Yarrowia lipolytica: one gene and its partner. The protein of the gene in region 1 interacts with the protein of each later gene in a pairwise test. Links are inferred from orthologs where the notes say so. Each region holds a gene or a part of one and is shown on either strand. Other genes may lie near its edges.

Region 1 (10,277 bases):
AAACATGATTGCCATCTTTGCTGGAAATGGTTACGTCTCTCGAGCTGTTCGTGCTTTCAAAGCTTTGCGAGCTTTGCGATTGCTCAATATTTCGAATGCAGCTAAGGAAACATTCGAGAACATCGTTATCGTGGGCATCAGGAAGATCTTCGGCGCGGCCATGATTTCCATGTGTCTGCTCTACCCTTTCAGTGTGTGGGGCTTGCAAATCTTTAAAGGGCGCTTCTACAGCTGCAACGACGAAAATACCGAATTTCTTGCCAATTGTATCAACGAATTTGCATCCTCGCCGTCAAACTGGAATGTCCTGGCGCCCCGCTCTGTTGTGAAGCCATACTATGACTTTGACAATTTCGGTCATTCCTTTCTAATTCTGTTCGAAATCATTTCCCTCGAAGGTTGGACGGATGTTCTCAAGACTACCATGAGTATTCAAGGGCCTGGGATGAATTTGGAGTGGGCCGCTTCAGTGAACAACTCGGCCTTTCTTGTCCTGTACAATTTCATTTCCACAGTTTTCATTCTCACGTTGTTCATTGCTGTCATCATTAAGAATTATTCGAGAACCACGGGTACGGCATTTCTTACCCAAGAGCAACGGGCTTGGGCAGAGGCTGAAAAAATCCTGAAGCTGGTAAAACCGTCCATTGTACCGGTGTACGTGCGTGAGGGAACATGGCGTGAATACTGCTACAGAGTAGTGACGAATCGAAAGGGCAAGTGGAATAAGTTTCTTGCGGGTCTGTTGTTTATCCACCTCATTATTTTGTGCTTAGAATGGTATCCTCAATACCTATATGCCGAAGACATTCGAAATGGGCTCTTTCTACCCATCCTCATTATCCTGGATCTCAACGAGATTATGAGGTTTTATGCTTTTGGTTACAAGGGTTTCATGTCCAGAAAATGGGATCTCTACACAGTACTTGTTGTGACGGGTGCATTAGTGACCACCATCTTCTCTTTTGCTTCTTTCGTTTCCAACACTTACTACAACTTCCAGAAGTTGTGCCAAGTCGGTATTCTGCTACTTTTCATTCCACGATCAGAGCGACTCGACCAGCTGTTCAAAACCACGTCAGCTTCTTTTGCATCCATTTTGAACCTCATGGCTACGTGGATCGTCTTATTTGTGGTATATGCTATTGCGTTCAATCAGATTTTTGGTCTCACTCGAGTTGGCCCTAATGGAACAGGAAACATCAACTTCAGAACAGTCCCCAAGGCCCTGATTCTCTTATTCCGGATGAGTTGTGGTGAAGGGTGGAACCAAATCATGTCTGATTATCTTTTGGAGCCGCCGTACTGTATCAACGGTGCTGGTTTCAACGAGACTGATTGTGGATCCCGTCCCTACGCGTATCTGCTCTTCATTTCTTGGAACATTCTCTCCATGTACATCTTCGTCAATATGTTTGTTTCTTTGATTTACGAAAATTTTTCGTATGTCTACCAGCAGACTGGCCCACTCAGTCGAGCCATCAAGCGGGAAGAGCTGCGGAAGTACAAGAAGGCCTGGAGAGAATTTGATCCCACCGGAACTGGATACATTAGGCCAGATGAGCTCCACAGATTTCTCCGACGAATTGAAGGCACCTTCTCGATGTGCATTTATGAAGGCGATTGGTCTATCAAAGAGCTGATTTCAGACCACAACATTAGAGTCAATGACCATGACCCTTATGATGTCGACCTTCCTGCGCTGAACAAGGCCGTTCGAACCATCCCAGTCGGAGACATGATCAACAGACGCCGGGCCTTTGACACACTTTGTGAGCAAGTGTTACTTGAGAGAAACCCAGACAAGGGTATATCTTTTTCTCAAGTACTGCTGGCAATTCCCATCTATAAGATGGTTGATGAAAACAAGTGCTTCATGCTAGATGCCTATCTCAAGCGACGAATCATGCTTCAACAAGTGGAAGAGAACCTTCTGAAGGCAAAACTACGAGGCTTCATGGATATGGTGCAACTCAGAAGAGAGTTTCACGAACGACGAGACGATATGGGTCCTATGTCAGCTTCGAGAGATCCATTTGAGAGCACAGGAGTGACTAGAATACCTTCGGGCTCGCGAAAGAACATTGTGCCTCAAATTTTCATCACTACTGATGGCGACAGCAAAGAAGACTTTACCAGCGAGGAGCCATCGTTGCTTCCTAGGAAAACGGCGGACTTCGATGTGGAAGAGGTACCTACAACACCTGATGGTGTTCCAGTTCCAGCAGACTACTTCCTGTCTACAGACCCAATGACACCGAACCCGAATGCTGGCAGCTCTGGCCGTTTCTCATGGACTTCGGAACGGTCAAACATTGACAGGAACTCTATGTGGGACCGGCGCGTATCAGGCGACAGTGACAATTTCAAGGACCAAGACTCCTCTGATTTGAACCTCATCCACAGACAGGAAGACCAGCTCATCGACTCGTTTGAGAACTCCGTTTGGGGTGGAGCTCTGTCCAAACGAGCTAGCCGATACCAACGTGCAGAGCAAGATGACGAGAAGGATGAAACACTTGACGACGATAGCCACGACTACATCTAACCATGGATATACTTACATAATTTATAGAAATGTTGAAATTAATCGAAACATATACACCGTAGTAAACGTGCTTTGTATTTCGTCTATGTACATGGCAGTATAAATTAATAGCATGCCTATTTTTTCTTCTTTCCACCGGCCGCCTTCTTCTCGGTGAGCTTCTTAGGGGCTCCCTTTCCTCGTTTCTTTCGCCTGTTGTTAATAATTGAACCACGATTGTGCGTGTACCTAGTAGCCTTTATACAATAGGATCTAATACTCACTGAACAACGTTGGTAAGTCGGTACCACTCAGTGTAGTCTGCGAAACCAAACTGGGGCATGGCCTCTCGAAGGCTCTTCATGCTGAAGTCGCTTGTGGGGTAGTAGCTCTTGATCTGCTCGCCAATCAGCGGTGCCCGGAGGGCCTTAGTGCCACGTCGAAGGTTCTCGGGGTTGTAAGACCGATTAAAAACCTGGGCAGTCAATTTTGCCAACGAGGTAAGTCGCTCTTTGCTGGGCCGGATGGGGTTCATCGTGGTGCGAGTTGTGTTGTGGTGATTTGGGACTGAAAAGCTAACATCTCATTGAAACCTTAAACACACGTGACCCGATAAGCTCATTTGAAAACACAGCCATCAGAATTACTGTATGAAGGTATGTGATACGAGTATCGTAAATAATATCCTGTTAATTAAATATATGGGTGGGCAAATGTAAATGCCCATGTAGCTTGTATGAAACTTAGGATTGAGCTACATCAGGAGCGGCAGCGGTGTCAAGCTCGTCTTCGACCTTGATGTCATCCTCATTTCCAACGTAGACCGTTTTCTCAGTCTTCGTTCCTGGCTCATAATCGAAATCCAGGATTCGGAGATAAGCCTCGTTGTCTTTCTGGACAGCTGCGACGAGCTTGGATCCACTAAACCGCACTTGCCAGATTGACTCACACTCCGTGAACAAATCTTTCACAAGTTTGCCAGTACGAATATCCCAGAGCTTCAAGCATTTTGCGGAACCACTGACAACTTTGTATTCGTCGTGCTGAAAGCAAGAAATTGCCTCCGCGTGTCCCTCCAGCTTATGTATGTTGCCTCCAGTCTCGGGGTCCCAAACTCGAAGGGTCCAGTCAACTGCAGCCGACACGAGCCAAGATCGGTTGAGGTCAAGGAGACCAACAAGCGAGGTGTGACCTTCCAAAGTGTACAGGCAGGATCCTGACTCAAGGCACCAGACCCTCACATTCCAGTCAAGCGACCCAGAGATGCATCGATTACGCTGATGATCAAGAACAGCAGCATATACTCGCTTGTGATGTCCAGAAAGTACAAACTTGCACTTTCCAGTGTTGATAGACCAGACACGCACAGTAGTGTCATAAGATCCAGAGACAAGAGTGTCACCGTAGCCATTAACGGCGCGAACAGAATTAGAGTGGCCCTGGAGTGACTTCATGAAGTAGGGATCCTGAGTGGACTGATCCAGCCATTCAGGCTCGCCTGGAAGAGGAAGCTTCCAGACTCTCAGTGTCTTGTCCCGAGATCCAGTAACAATGAGAGGTCGAGAAGGATACATCTCATCGGGGTCGGTGCTCTCCGTTCGTGCAGTAGCACACATTGCATGGCTCATTGGCACAGGAGTCAGGATGCTTAGTGACCGCACCGTAGAGACGTGACCTGTAAAAATGTGGGTGCATCGTGCTTCTTTGATGTTCCAAATTCTAACAGTTCTGTCAATACTTCCACTGACCAATGTATCACCAACGTACTGCAGAGCCCACACTCCTCCAGTGTGACCTTCGAGTCGACTTCGTTGACGGCCAGTTTTAGTGTCGTAGACGTTGATCCAAGGGTCTTCGCTGGCAGTGACAATGATGTCATCATCAAACTGGAGACAAGTAATGACTGCCTCCCGTCCAGTTCGGATGCATGTGGAGTCAGGTGTGGAGTTGGGATCCATCCAGTTGCGACGAATAAGATGTCTTCGACGGTATATGCTCTTGTACAGGTTGATCTTGCTGTACAGAGGAGTGGATTCGACAATGCTAGGATCGGTGTCCTCGGACCCCCACGTGGTATAGTCCCACTTTTGCTCGGTAGCTCTGGCAACGTCAGCATCGGTAACGGGCGCCTGGTGGCTCTCTGAAAGACCCTTCCAGATTGCGCCCAAGCTTTCAACAATGGAGTTCCAGCTTTTTGAAACCTGTGATGCGGCACAAAGAGTCTTGTAGTCGAGGTGGGACAAAACCTTTGTGGCGAGTTCCAAAGGAAAGATGGACAGCAAATCGCAGCGCAAGGCAGGGACGACAATATCGGCTACCATCGACAGGTTCCGTCTGTTGCATCGACGTAGAAGCTGGAACATCACGTAGTTCTTGACAGGGGCTGGTAGATCGTCGAAGTTGTCGAGGAGCTGAGGGATTTCGTCCCGTAGGTTGGCATGAGGAATGGTAAGATGCTGTTGCTCTTCTTCTTCTTCTCGAGCCGGGGGAGGCGAAGGCATGGCGACGTTTGATGCGGATGTTTGCTGCTCGTCGGTCTGCTCAATTTCCAAGTCATTTCGGGGTACCTTCTTCTGGCGTGGCAGGCTGCAAGACGCCTGGCGCTTTTTGCTGAGTTCCGTAGCACGGGATGTTGCGTTATCAGAGGCAGCTCCAAGAGTTCCATTCTCGAGACTGGCAGAGGTGGACGTCTGTTCACCCCCAAGTTCGACGAACTGGAGCTCGTTGCCATTGACGTCAAAGTGAAACTGCGAGAGATAGTCTGGAGTATCTGTACCCCGCAGCGGATAGTTAGCGTTGCTAGATTTTGGGTCCTTCCTGACGATGGAGACGGTATGCATTTTTGTATCGTAGTTTGAGGCTGCTTTTGTTGTGAGTTGAGCAGAGGGTGCGGGGTGGTGGTGTATATGTCCGTGTTACCGAGAGCGAGCGTTTGCAGCGGCAACTATTGAAAGGTAAACTACCGCTTATCAGTTGGGGCTCGACGAGTAGAGAATATGCTGTGGTGGTGGCGCGAAGTGGGTGTCGTGTATCAGTTGACTGCAGTGGTCTTCCTTCAAAATGAATCACCAGGGACAACAGGGGTTGCTCTGGGACCAGGAAAGGCTCTAGTGTCTTGAACGTGTCTCTTCTGCCAGTTTTTTTGCACGGCTTATCGTGAGTTGTCTTGTTTCGACGTTGTCGCCTGTGCCTGTTGTGTATTGTGTGTGGGTTTGGTGTGTGGTATGTTTCCAACTTCGGTTTTACCCTTTCTATTGAAGTCTCTCATGCGCCGAAGGGGTCAGACTGTTTGTTGACAAGCACTACTCACCGAAATTGGAAATCTTACACAACCGCCGAAAAGCAGAGAAAATGAAATGTTTTAAAGTCTCGTATCCTGTGAATCTTTTGGAAATGTAATATCGTATTTGTCTATTGCTCATCTGAGGAAACAACAGCCTAAATACCAGCTGTTAGCCCACCCAGATGGTGTTGCTACATCGCAAATTCCTGCACGCATGAAACTCTGTTTACGACCAACTCAAAGTATAACAGCGTTGGGCAGTCTTCCAAATGTATCTCACGTGTAGTTAGCAACGAGTAATCTTCGCTTGCGGGCATGCGACATCACAAGTATATTGATTGTAGCTAATGTATCGCACAAGTATAAGTACGAGTAGAAGCACTACAAGTAGTTCTTACTGTACTATCGTAGTATGTCCTTGTATCGTACAATAATATATCGTACTTGTACAGACATTTTTAATTCCAACCAATCGGGCTTTTGAACCGCCGACAGACCCCTCAAAAGGACAGTAAATACTTCAGAATATGGTGGCAAAATAGAAAATAAGTATCATTCAGCCAAGTTTAGGTTGCCGCATACATCTTATGAATTCATTTTATATGGCTCCGTAACATTTAATTGTACCGTGGAAGAGTGGGCGGCCATCATAATTTGATTACTCGGATTCGTGGGGAGAAAAGAGCGATCTGGTGATCTTGCATGAATTGAGGCGAACTTTACTCCCAGGCATCGTCCTTCACCACGATCCTTCAGAAAGCCATGAGTTTGATAAGATCGCTAAGAACAGTGCCCCGAATCGCACTGGCCACAAGAGTAGCCACAGGAGTGGCCTCTCTACCTCTTCGCAGACCCCTCACCACTGGCGTGCGACGTGCGACAAGAACAGTTACTTTGCCACACATCACTACACATCATGAAACGCTCCGACTATATTCTCTCCAGGCGACCGAGCTGGAATTAGAGGATTACCACATTCAAGCGGATGAATATTTGGAGTCTATCTTGATTGCTTATGAAGAATACGCTGAGGAGGTCGATTCAAATGAGCTGGATGTGGATCTAGCTCAAGGCGTGATGAGCTTGGAAATCCCTGGTGCTGGATCCTACGTTATCAACAAACAACCCCCGAACAAACAGATTTGGCTAAGTTCCCCCATTTCCGGCCCCAAGCGTTATGACTATGTCGACGGTGAATGGGTTTATCTGCGTGACGGCACCACCCTAACAGAGCTTCTGGAGACCGAAACCTCCGAAGCATTTGCTTCCACTGGGAAGAAATTTCATCTTTGAGAAAGCCTGTATATAAGTGCATAGATTTAATCACCTACCTGTAGTATATGTCGAGTTGTGTCTAACCCACAAGAAAATACAACGGCGCTATTCAATCACACTTGTATGGTACTTTTATGTTCGGGGTGACAGGTGGGGTTGTACATACTTACTGTCTACGATACTGTACCACCATAATCTTGTTGAGAGGTTGTGCAGTTCCCCGGAGCAAAGGCGCGTATTACAAATCTAAATATCATGATATCGCTCGTAGAGGCATATAATAGTGCGCGACGAGTTTATTCCTTCACCGTATTCATTGCTTGTAAGGTCGCACGTGAAGGATCAGTCATACACAGCCTCCGGTCACATTTGACACAGCCTCCTAATTACCCTGTGTGTAGTGCAGTAGTAAACTTGGCCAAAACTACCCATACCCAAATCTCAAATCCCAATAAAGTCTGACCACGAAGTGCAGCGATCGAAACGTAGCTAGCTGTAACACGGCATCTTCAGTCCAGCCCAGGCCTCAGCAACGACATGCCAAACGAGCCAACTCCCCCCAGCGTCCCCGATGGCTGGTTAGCCAAATGGGACCCCAACTACAAGACTTTTTACTATGTCGACCTCTCCAACGGAAAATCACAGTGGGACAAGCCTAGCGGCTCCGGTGGCCACAGTCCGCCATCATACGACCGGCCTCCTTCTCGGGGAAGTAGCCACAGCAACAGCAACAACAACAGACCTCACCAGGAGCAGCGTGGATATGGTGGTGGTGGTTCAGGCCCTCAAGGATACGGCGGGGGACCTGGCCCTGGTGGCTTCGGCGGTCCCCACGGTGGCGGAGGTTATGGTGGAGGACCGGGCCCCGGATATGGCGGAGGGCCGGGCCCCGGATACGGTGGCCCTGGACCTGGTTATGGCCCTGGACCTGGTTATTGGCCCCCCAGCCCATGTACCAACAACCCCCGCCTCCACCTATGTATGCCCAGCCCCCGCCTATGCAGATGCAGCAGCAGCAACCTCACAGACGAAATTGGGGAACTACCGCCATGGGTGTTGGTGGTGGTCTTCTTGGTGGTATGCTTATTGGAGACATGATGAGTGGCCACCATGATGGCGGTGACACGGTTGTGAACAACTATTATGACGACAACAGTAACAACAACGACGGCGATATGTATTCGGGAGGCGCTGATGATTATGGTGGAGGAGACGACTGGTAATATAGATAAGCTTGTTTTTTTCGATAATAATTTGGTTCTCGTAGCCCTTTTACTATGTTTTCTATTCACCCTCTTCGTCTTCTGGCTCTATGCTTCCCATCTACTGTAAGCCGAGTTGCTTACTCAGATCACACAGTTAAGGTTCGTTATCATATGAGGTGGCATTTGAGTACAGATTAGTTTTCATCGGCAGCAAGTGAGTTCCGAGTCATTGAGGGTGTCCCCGTGTCTTGACAATTGAGGTGGGGATATGTAGAGAGCAGCCTACGATCCTGGTGATGTATGTGCGATTTCAATTTGGGGACTTCTATCATGTGCAGCGTCCGACATCCTGTTCGAGTCTTACACCTGCGTCGCAGCAGAGTGCGGACTTGGGATGAATGAATTTGGACATGAGCCGACAAAAGTTAACTTCACCACCTTACGCATCTTCTCTCAGTCCTCCAAACAGACATGGCCCGACACGCACTCAGTAAGGCAGAGGCCTCGTTTATTACCAAACTCATCCGTGTCGACCAGGCTGGAGAACTTGGTGCGGACCTTATTTACCGAGGTCAGTACATGGTTCTCAGCCGAACCAAGCCTGAGATCGAGCCTCTCATCAAGCACATGTGGGAGCAAGAGCAGCACCACAGACGAACTTTCAACGAGCTTCAACAGAAATACAGAGTCCGGCCGTCTCTGCTTACCCCGATCTGGAAGGTTGCAGCAACTGGTCTAGGCTGTGCCACGGCCCTTCTTGGTCAAGAAGGTGCCATGGCTTGCACTGAAGCCGTAGAAACTGTTATTGGTGGACACTACAACACTCAGTTGCGATGGTTACACGAAAACTTCCCTCCCAAGGAAGAGCGGTCCAAGGACGAAGAGATCACCTCTTTGAAAAGCATTGTTAAGCAATTCCGTGACGAGGAGCTGGAGCATCTCGAGATTGCTGTGGAAAACGACTCGCATGAAGCCAGACCTTACTGGCTTCTCACGGAAACCATCAAAGCAGGATGTCGAGGAGCCATTTGGGTCGCCGAGCGAGTTTAAGCATCTGTATATAAATATGTATTAACGAATGTACGAGTGGAAGGTGAACTATTTTTTAAACCCCATCATCTCCTTAGCACGATCCTGCGCCGACTCACTCGAAAAAGTCCCTGAGAGTTCCGCAGGGACATTTTGCATCCACCCATCCCGGTTGGGATTGTGAGCAGGGTCCATATTCACCCATGTCTTGCTTCTGCTCCTCTCCTCTAACCTATTGAGAGCCTCTGTCTCGCTGATGTTGGGGTTACCTGTTAGTGATGGACCGAAGTCATCGTCGTCTGATGAGTCTGCCTCTTCGGACAGTTGCGGTCCAGCCTGGACCACTTCAAGGGCACTGGCAGCTTGCTGAATTCTCTTCTGGCGCCGTTGTAGAACCTCCCCAGGTATGTCAGGACCGTAAGTCATCGTACAAGAAGTCATGCTGTAGCTGTCGATCACTGTGTGTTACCTGTTACTGTACTTCTATAGTTAACACGCTTGTACTCGTACCAATAAAACAACCTCCCATCAAACTTTAAATCGAGGGTTCATGCTTCGTGTGCGTTGACAACAGCAGTAGCACAGTCGACGAGACACCACAACCATGAAGTTTTTCGCCTTGCTGTCGGCGCTGTCCGCCACCGCTATTGCCTCATCCGAATGCATGGGTTACATTGCTACATACCCCCAGACGGGTGCTGCTCAACAGTCCATTAATGGAGCTGAGGCCCACCTCGTGTTGGCTGACACCCTGGGTCTGTCTAGTGGTCTCAACGGCAACCAGTTGGCCGAGAAGGAGCAGTTCTTTTTCGCTCTTCCTCAGATGGGATTGGGCCCTGTGGACTCCCATACCGTTTTATTCTCTGATCATGCTAACGACGACTCTGGGGCTCTTTACGCAATTGAGTCCGCCATCGATATGGGCGCTATTCAGAAACTGAGTCACCGACTGGAACAA
Region 2 (10,277 bases), on another chromosome or scaffold:
TCGAGCCTCCTTCAGACCCCCATTTGCCCTTGGATGCAAGAGAGGAGGAGGAGTCCGAGGAGTCTGACGTGGATCCCGATAGGTTTCTAAGCGCTCAAAGAAGGAAAAAGAGCTTCTTTGGACGCACAAAGTGGGACGAGGTGGGCTCTAGTTCGCGTGACAAATCAAAGACATTCAACCACAGTGTCAAGGAACACGGGTCTTTCCAGGGGTCGCGATTTTCTCGTGGTAGAACAACACCAGAGCTGCCTAGGAGAGGCACAGGTACGTTTTCCGACCAGCTCAACGCCCAGTCTTCTATTCCTTCTTCCAGAAGAAGAGGAACTTTTTTACGACGAGCAAGATCAAACTCAAAGGGAAAGGGGATCATGACAGATAGTGACTACGAGGAGGAAATGGATCTTCCAGATTGCATACCCGAAACAATCGACATGTCTGTACCCATTGTGAAACTTCCTGGATTTGGTTCTAGCAAACGAGAACATCCTTCTAGTCCACACACAGCTCCACCTGGTATCAAGGTCAGAGACTTTAGCGGCAATGCAGTGAACCACTCTAGCGAAAAGAAGAACGACAATAGTGACGATCCGGACGGTACATCTTACAGGGAACCTGTGGGTGTCATGTCTCAACAGCCCCATGGCTCTGCATTGCATTCTTTGAGAAAGTACAGTGGGCCCAACCACGAAGCCTCCTCCGATATCAAGAAGGAAAATGGCATTGGACCACTAGAGATGCCTCCAAAACTGCAACGTGCATCTACTGCACCCTACAATCTGGGCTCTGAGGGTCGTTCTTCCGCCTCAGACGTCCCTCTTTTTACCCAAACGTCGTCTCAAACGTCAGATACCTCCCATGCTGTTGGTTCGGTGGGCACGATCGATTCATTCCACTCGGCCGAATCGAGTTTGGCACCATTGGATGCCGTAGGCGAGACAAACATGTCTGATGCTGATAGCTTGTCCGAGGAGTTTGATTCAGATCTGGACGCAGACAATGAGCCTACACTCCGTGGCTATGACGTTTCGAAGAAAGACCACAAGGGCAAATCCATCTTGATGGCTCCCAATCGCGCAGATGTGCTCAAGGGAAAGGGGTTCCAGCAAGCTCCTGCGCCCTCATCTTTAACTTCTGCTTCCAAGGTGAAGTTTTCTGGTCCCAGTGGTCTCACACCCGGTCAAAAGCTGCGCTGGAAAGAAGAACAGAAGCTACCCGAGCTTCAGGAACAGGATAGTCTACCTGAGAACGTACAGTTGATGGACGGATCTGACGACTTTGGAAACAACGGCCAAATCTCCGATGCCACTGAAAAGGTGATTGATGATTCAAAGGTAGCTGAAGCTCCAGAGGGACCTGAAGGTCAAGAGCCTGATGAGGTCAAAGAAGACGGAGATCCTACTGTTCCACATACCGGTCTTCGTCATGGTAACGAACCGCGGGGTGCTGAAGTCATGACTCCTGCTACTATCGCCGCTGCCAATGCGGGACCTTCTCAGAGTGACTACTACCTTCAGTTTCAGGAAAACTTCATGAACCGGGCAAAGAATGTCGCTGGTAAGATGAAAGACAAGTCTTCGCGTACTCGAGACGCTACGGTCAAAAACTGGAGGTTTTTGAGAGAAAAATCCGCCGGAGAGATTGTGCGGATCGAGAAGATGTTAGTTATGGTCAAGACCAGTCCAGCTCTGCATCTACCTAAAGACTTCAACGAGACAGAAACAGGGGACACTCGAATGTTGGAACGATGGAGAGAGTACATTGTTGTTGCTCGAAGCACAGGTGACCCCTTGAACCCGATCTCGCTGCAATTCTATTCGTCCCGATCCATCAAGGCTGTTGAGAAGGTGACCAAGGGTAAGACTGGCGCCAAAATGTTTCTGACACTTGGCAAGCATGTCAATGTGTCGCTGTATTCATCTCTGGATAAGACCATCGCCCTGTGGTACACCAGCAAGCGTGAGACTGTCATCTACATTCTGCGGGCTCGCTCAGCCTACTCGTCCATTCGGTGGTTTGCATTCTTCTCCGAAATTCTGGGTGCCCGACGAGACAAGGACATGCATGTGCGAGTGCCTGATCTGGCTGTGGTTGTAACTGTTCGGGTCTCTTGGCGCAAGTTCCGACTTATCGACGAGTACATTTCTAGAAATCTTATGGCTGCCAAAAGAAAGTCAGGCCGAGGTGCTGTTCTCACCGCCAGAGCTCACCAATACATTACTGAGAAGGCGCTCAAGGCTCTGGCTGAAAACCCACGATTTAAAAGCACCATTGATGACTGGGTGAATAATAAGCGAGTCGGTCTTGGATGGCGTCGATACGACCGATTAGAGTGGGTCCAGGGCTTTGGAGAGCAGGAGTTGCATGGTTCCTGGGCCCTCAACCGAACGCACGACTTGGAGTTGCGTGTCAAAGAACATTACGGTGACAAAATCACAATCAAGGGAGAGGAGTTGGTGGAGCCCACCCCCATTGAGGGTCATCTGGTGCGTCTCAAGTCTTGGAATGGACAGCTAGGAGGCGCCTTCTCCTCCAAAAAGAACTCGTTCGGTAAGCTTCTTTACAAGAACCTGTACTTTTCCACCCATGACTACTTTCTTTTCTTTGCCAAGCCCGGCAATGCCATTCTTCCTCTTCCCGACGAAGATCTCAAATGCCAGGAAGCCTACAATGAGGAACAGCGGGAGTGGGTGTACGAGATTGCCCCGTTCAAGTCTGAGGAGGGCACCGGTGAGATGAAGGGCACTCCTATCATCAAGTGGCTCAAACCAGGTATCACCGAGTCGGAGTTTCAAAAGAAGGATTCCATTGCTCTGCACAACATGCAGAGACGGGCCGCTCAGATAATCAAGGCTGATGGGTTCATCAACCTCCTTGAAGTTGTCCAAGTTCGTGCTACCAAACGCCAGGAGGACATCGACGACAGTATTGGTAACGAAGACAACAATGTGGACTTTGACGGCTCTCGAATTCTCCATGGAAGCACGTCTCAGGGCCTGGGAGGAGAAGACGGCGAGGTTGATTCTTTCGACGAACACAAGACGTTTGAGTTGGTGATGGAAAACGGTCTTATCGTGCGTCTACAGGCCTACAACTCGCACTGTCGAAACTTGTGGGTCAACAAGCTCAGGGATCTCATTGCCTATTGGAAAGTGGTGGCCCAAAACCAGCTGCAAGTATCTGCCGACTTCCGAACAAACAACATGAAACGTCTCTACATTGACGATAAGTTAGATGCAGCTATTGGAGAGTCGTCTCCCAAGTGGGAAACCGCCCGTGCTTCAGCCTCTACTACGCTGTACAATGTTTCAGGTATCTCGTGGTCCCGTTCAATCATCATGAAGGGTATGCTGTACCATAAGACACGGACCCATGGCTCATTCAAGTTGTACTACGCGGTCCTGTGCCATGGACATCTCATTCTCTATGACGTTTACAGACGAACGCTCGGAGGTATCCCTATGGACAAGGTGGACTACGAGAGATTCAGAGACATCCCTCTCAAGGAGGCCTACGTGTACTCCGGCAACATTGCGGAGTCAGATATTCTGACCCGCGACGAAATGAGCGATCTCAGCTCGGACAAGGTGGTACCTCGCATGTACAAGGACGGGTGGAAGTCTGCCGAGAGTGAGACTCTGCGATGCATCATTTTGTGGTTCCCTCGAAAGAAGGCCGTGACTACAAATTCTGCCACCAAGCTGCGAACCGTCAATCGACTGGGTGTCAGTGGCCATCGGTACATTTTTGTGGCCCGTTCTCGACAGGAGAAGGAACAGTGGGTTATGGCACTGTCGCATGAAATCGAAAAGCTGGTGGAACCGGATTTTGCTGATATCAACATTGTTAATTAGGCCACTAGCATTATATTACTAATACTTTGATTATACAGCCGGCTTAGATACCGATTTGTATGTATCGGCACTCATGTAGAGAAGACTTTGTACCTGATCTTCTACCGTTTTTCACCTGTTTTACGCTTGTATTAAACTTAAAACATTTCTTACAGTCATCTATTGGATATTACTTGTACTTGAATGACTTGACACCACCACAGAACAGATGCTAACATTTACCATGGTGCCACCATACAACGCAATACCAGAAACATTATCGTGCACAATGCCGTGCAACACGTTTATCAAAAACTGTGCCAAACGCAGAAACAGTTTATGCAGCGTATTCGTACTTGTCCTGCTCGATTCGGGTCAGATACTCTCTCTCAATCAGATCGTCAATCACCTTTTTGATCTCGCCAATTTTGGGGTGGAACCGCTTCTTGGACTGCACAATGGTTTCCTGAACCAGCGCAGTATGCTTGAGAGTCTTTCGAGCCTTCATGACACGAACAATCGTGGCTTGCAAGAACCACTTTCGGTCCTCCTCGATTGCCTTCTTTGTCTCCTCAGCCTCAGCCTTAGCCTCCGTCTTGATGACTCCGTTGATGTTGATTCGGATCTTCTTGGACTTGAAGTCCTGGTTGAAGACGATTCGCGTCTCAGGCGTGAGCTCCACGTCCTTGGGGTCGCCAGACACACCCTCAACCAACAGAAACTTGGACTTGAGGATCAAGTGCAGAGAACCATGCAGGTATGTGTTGCTGAGACCGGTGATCTCCTGCAGATCGGCCACAGACAGAACATCGGCGTCGTTGTAGGCCAGAAGAATGGCAATCTGGTAGATGGAGGCTGTTACCGAATAGCCAATCTTGGAGCCCTTGGTGTGGATCTTGACATCGCCCTTGGTGAAGTTCCACAGCCACTTGAGCTTTCGGCCCTGGTGCTTTGCCTGATAGTACTGGGTGAACGCCTCGTACGTCTTGGTGAGGTCATTGGGCAGTCGGAAGCCGTCCTTGACGGAGGGCAGTGGCCAGCATCCCTCGGCAATGATGGTTGGCGAGAAGTCGACGAGATTGGCCTCTCCGCCTGAGGCAGCCGCGTCCTGTCGCTTCTGTTGTACTCGCTCCTTGAACTCCTCCTGCAGCTCGCCTGATACGGAAATGTCCTGGAACATTTTGTTGAGCTTGCCCGTGTACTCCATACCGCACTCGTTTTTGAGCTTGTTGACCATGGACCGCTCGGCATCGTCGGATGCAGACGAGTTGTAGACAAGACGTCGGGCCAGGTTACGAGTGTAATGCTTCTGGAAGGCGTCCTTTTCTTCCAGGAACCGGAAAATGACAATGGCGTTCTCGAGCTTCGCCTCGAGATCGAAGTCCTCGGTGGTCTTGGTGGTCTTCTTAAGTAGCGTGTTGCAGTAGGAAGCCAGCAGCTCTGGGGTTTTGGAGTCGCGGGACTTGTTGCTAGGCGAATCTGGAGTGGCAATAGCGTTCTTGTTGATGAAGGCCAAACATGCAGCGTCCAGAACCTTGTGCAACGATGTGTGATTGCTGAAGGCCACCTCCACCAGATGCACGTAGCGCTCGTAGACACCAATGAGTGTGTCGACGTAAGTCGAAGCGTCGACGGTGCCAGTGAGGTCCTTGGCCAGCTGTTTGACAGCATTCTCTCCTTCCTGTTTAACGTAGGACTCGAAAACGGGCAGAATAGGGTCCAAGGCGCCGTCCACCTTGCTCAGCAGTACGTGCACACGTCGAATGTCGTCCTCTCGGTAGCCCTGGAGCAGTGAGCCAAACTCGGATCGGATGACCTCTGCGTGGTCGGCGATGAGACACTCGTGGCAGGTCTCAATCACCCGCTGCTCGGAAGACGGATGCAGGTAGACGTCAACTCGGCCCTTCTCTTCCGCCAGACGCTGCTCAGCCTTGCGGTTGTAGTCGACCACAGTGTTCTCTTGGAGGAACAGGGCGGACTCCTTGGTGTAGTAGTCCTTGGTGTGCTGGATGAAAGGATGCAGGAAGGCCTGCTCGTAGACCTGCAGGTTAACCCGCTTGATGTCAAGCTGGTCCAGACCCAATGACACCAACGAGTACACGACCTTTCGGATGTCGATGGTGCCCGTAGATTCGCCGTTTCGCAGCCGGGTGAACTGCTCCAGCAGGGCATCAATGACCTTCTTCTCCAGGGGATCGAAGAAGCACTCCTTCCAGGCACACAAACACATGGTGTTGACGTCCACCACGTTCTTGCGACCGTCGTCTCTCTCTCGCTTGACCCAGTGTCGGTTCAGGTAGTTGAAAATGTGGTTGATGTACTGCGCACCCACCGTGTACTTGTCCCAGCACTTGATGTAGTACAGCAGCAGGTTGCCACCGCTCATGGGCTGGGCCTCAGCCTCCAGCGAGCTGAGATGCGATTCCAGAAAGCCCTTGAGCTTGTAGTACAGGTCTGCGCCAATCAGCTGGGCGCCCCGCGTGCTTGATCCGACTCCTCCTCTGCTGGCCAGACTCACGCTTCGGTTGCTGTCTCGCGAAACGCAGTAGTTGTGGATCGCCGAGTACAGGTTCATGTACATCTGCGATGACAGCCCTGCGCCGTGTGCCAGGTCATCCCGGAGCACCTGGCCCACGCCGTCCTCAATGTACTTCCAGGTGGCGTCGATATCATCGGCGCGGGGAAGTGGTGGTGTGTTTACCATGGTGTTTTTTCTCTGCGGTTGTCGTGGCGTCTTTTTGCAAAAAGCTGTACCTTGTGTGTCTTGTTTTCACTCGTTGCGTCCACTGCCGTGTCACCTGATGCTCGATTCGAAATAGGTGATTGTTTCTAGGCGTAATTGCCAGGTGTAACGGGAGACAGATGGATGGTGAGAGAAGGTGTCTAAGTGTGGTGCGTTAGAGCATATAGCCTTCTGCTTGATGTGTGGGTCTATCTATGTGTGTGACCCAATACCCTAATAAGCTTCCTGTTCTGGGGCTTACTCAGCTGTTAGGACACGCCACTGTAAACAGCTACAGTACTTGTAGCTACCATATACCAACCCATCTACAGTATATATAACGATATTTGTAGCTAAACAAGATCAGATGAAGCATTGACAGACAGAAAAGACGACCAAAACCGGTCCATGGAAAATCCACTCCACCCAAGACTACAAAAACCCCTTTCAATTGCCCGGCCTGTTCTTGTACTTGTATGTACTTGTACATACTTGTATTACACACAATTAAAGGGGTGTGAAGGTACTCTTAGTAAGCAGAGGTCGAAGCTCGTACAGGGGAACGTACCAACATGTATTTACTGTACGTGTTGTACTTAGCATACAAGTACACCTGTGCTCGTATAGTAGTGAATGTCTATCTAAAAGGACTAGCTAGCTACTACTACCGGTACTGTAATGGTATGTGCTGTACTGGTACATGAAGTACCTGCAGAACACTCTCTATTATCTGTATCTGTATTAGTGGAATGCTGGTTAAATGGGAAAGTGTATATGCCATGTCTTGTGATGTGCCGAGAGCTGTGTCTAGTCTAGTTCTGCTTGTCTCCAGCAACACGCTCTACCAGACGGAAGATACTAATGCTAAAAGTGGAGACCCACGAAAAGAGAATCATGAGCAGAAACGCAACCAGACCCTTCTGCCGTGAACACATGGCGTAGTTGTAGGGCATAGGGTCCGGGTCACTGAGATCGTGGTCGGTACGACAGACCCACCGTTTGTCGCACATGGTGTTAAATGCAAGAGCCGTATTTGCGGATGAGAAAATAATAAATAAGAGATCCAACATGATGAGTCGGATCTTGGAGCCGGCATCTCGAAGACCCAGAGGCTTGCCCGAGTACTCGTCGTACGTAATGTACACAATGTACACCAGTGCAATGGACTGCACCACAATGGCCATAATCGTCGACGGCTGCTGGGGAATGGATATCGGCGTGTTATTCTTCGAATGCACAAAGACAGATGCAGATAGAGACAGAGCCACGCATGACAGAGAGAACATGATGGTTCGGAACGTCAGAGGCACGTAGGGGTCGTTGAGCAAGATGACGTAGAACTTTGGTTTCCACGATTGCCGCGACTTCTCGGACACAAACTCCCGGAAGTTGAGATCCGCGCCTCGTTTGTATTTGTCGTCGTCCTCAATGTTTCGGAACAAGCTGATGAAGCCCTTGAGCTTTCGTTTCAGGAACCACGACGTGGATCCCAATTGGCCTTGGTCGTCGCCGCCGTACTTTGACTCAAAGTCGTACTGGCCCTCCAGCTCCGACACATCCACAATCTCTTCATTGCCCAGAACGTCTCGTCGAATGACCTTGTTAGCAAAAGTGCCCCATTCATAATGGGGGTTGGTTTCCACGTATCTGTTTTTGGACTCGCCCTGCACGTACTTGAGTCGGTGGTGGCGGAAAATGTGGGTATGCAGTTTTAGCGGGGCCACCAGCACTCCCTGCAGGGGCCGTAGAGCTGTGGTTTGTGGTGAAGCAAAGTTGAAAGAGGAAGTGGGCAGACGCCGTCTCCAATTCAGAGTGGGTGCCGCACCCTCACCGTTGTCCACGTCGGAAATGGCCTTGTCCGAGTCTCCCTCGGCAATCTCCGTGATACGGTCACTGTCGTTTTGGAAGGAGTTGGAGTTGTTGACCTGCGGTGAGAGTTCCTGGTCGCCAATATCTTCGATGAGCCACACCGGGATGGTACTTGCCACATGTTTGTAGTTGGTTTCGTACTGTTGCGACCTCGAAGACGACGACGTGTTTCTTCGAGACGATACTCCGGTGGTGCCCCCTGAAATCGCTCTGGAGCGAGGCTTGGAGGGCGGCGACGAGTAGGTTGGAAACGGGATCTCACCGCTAGACGATGCGCCCATGGGTCCCGACGGCATGTGTGACGTTGGGTGGGTTTGCGTGTCCGTGTATGTTAATGCTGAGGTGTTGGATTGCGAGGAGGTTGGAGCAGGCGTGTAGGAAGCCGACACAGCTGCGGGAAAGTCGGGCTGGTCGTGTATTTGTTGCTCCTCGCTGGTTTTCATCTTCTTGTTGGCGGCTGGAGGGGGTGGTTCATCGACGGTATCAAAAGAACCACCTTGACTTGTCTGTTTACCACCGTCTGAAGCCTCCACCGGAATGTCATGAGGGCCGTAGTCGTGGGAGGGCATGGCCGAGAGGAGAGTGTAGCTGGGTCGGTATTGTTGTCGGGTTCCTCTCCTTTGATCAACAATGTGATGATTTTTCTTTTATCTCAAAGCAAGCCTGTCTCAAGAGGTCCGCCTCTTGTTTTTTTTTTTTTTTGTCTGTTCTTTCTGTAGGTGTTTTTAAAACAGTTAGGGTCAGATGTTTGGAACCGTTTTGGGTTGAAGCTAGACGAGATTAAGGTGTTTCTAGCCAAGCTTCCTGCGTTATGTGGAGGAGGAAGGGAGAGCTGTTCAAAAGGTGTTGCTGGGGGTGGAAGAGGGAGATCGGCGGACCCTGGGGTCTGGATACGTGTGATCAGGGCCCACAAGCCGTTTTTGCCCGCAATTTGCCCACAAAAACCGCCCGAAACGCGTCCGTTGACGTCCTTGTATGTCCTCGCTTGCCCTCCCCTACTCGTCATTTATGGTCTTCCTTGCTGGTGCATTTGACTGGTGTTGCATATACCTCTCTCCGATTGCGCCGCACTGTCGGCAGTACCTACAGTACATTGGCTACGAGTGGCTACGATACTGAGACAGTCGTCTGAGAGTCCTTATCTTCTTGTAGCTGCGGTCTCCAACTGCCTTGGTAGCCTCTCAAAGTGTTGACGATAAAATCTGGCTAGCGTTATCTGTGCTGTACATACTAAATATAGCCTGTACTGTAGATGTACAAGTATCGTAATCTCGCTACTGTACGTGTAGAAGAGCGCTAAAATGAGGGAATATACCCCAGCTTTGGTAACACCAAGTACCGGTATACGCACTCATATATACTCACACCGCCCCCACCCTGTAATCTCTGTTGCTAATGCATCCACCCTATGGGTTTGAGGTCTGACAGCAAGGTACTGTAATTGGGTTGCCAGGATGACTGACGCTGCTAAGACTACCCAACAGGATACGACTATTGGTACTGTACTGGTACAAGTACTTGGTATAGTGTAGCAACATATCATTTTGTCTCTGCTTACAAGTCCATAACCACCATTGTCGTCTCAGCTAATCTCTCAATTTGCCCATAAAAAGACCAATCTGACATCTCGCTAAAACTTCCCCTGCGTCCATAGTCTACCGCCTCGGGGTGCATTTGGAAATGAGTAACGGGACCACGAGCATGTACGAGTGCGAGTACGTACATTATCGGCTCGAGACATTTCCCACCGTCACTCGTTCTCGTGCACCTTGCAATGGCAGGTGGAACTATCAAGTGACAGCTGACAGATGACAGGCATTGTTGATCAATTGATCAGCGAGCTAAGGTGAGGTCAA

The links.
Region 2: the proteins of YALI1_E18303g (region 1) and YALI1_D15622g interact in binary tests that used the Schizosaccharomyces pombe proteins (3 or more experiments, as listed by UniProt). The link is inferred for Yarrowia lipolytica from reciprocal best matches to the Schizosaccharomyces pombe genes pop2 and cul1.

What each region holds. Positions count from the first base shown.
Region 1 is NC_090774.1:1,825,445-1,835,721, reverse strand, and holds YALI1_E18303g (uncharacterized protein), read right to left. Parts: upstream 5,368-10,277; coding exon 3,271-5,367; downstream 1-3,270. Other genes in the region: YALI1_E18378g (uncharacterized protein), read left to right, coding at 1-2,548; YALI1_E18326g (uncharacterized protein), read right to left, coding at 2,665-2,740, 2,812-3,062; YALI1_E18291g (uncharacterized protein), read left to right, coding at 6,573-7,103; YALI1_E18281g (uncharacterized protein), read left to right, coding at 7,623-8,183; YALI1_E18269g (uncharacterized protein), read left to right, coding at 8,762-9,340; YALI1_E18258g (uncharacterized protein), read left to right, coding at 9,924-10,277. UniProt on the Schizosaccharomyces pombe protein: Involved in maintenance of ploidy through proteasome dependent degradation of CDK inhibitor rum1 and S-phase initiator cdc18.
Region 2 is NC_090773.1:1,558,480-1,568,756, reverse strand, and holds YALI1_D15622g (uncharacterized protein), read right to left. Parts: upstream 6,535-10,277; coding exon 4,168-6,534; downstream 1-4,167. Other genes in the region: YALI1_D15692g (uncharacterized protein), read left to right, coding at 1-3,851; YALI1_D15597g (uncharacterized protein), read right to left, coding at 7,365-8,990. UniProt on the Schizosaccharomyces pombe protein: Core component of multiple cullin-RING-based SCF (SKP1-CUL1-F-box protein) E3 ubiquitin-protein ligase complexes, which mediate the ubiquitination of target proteins.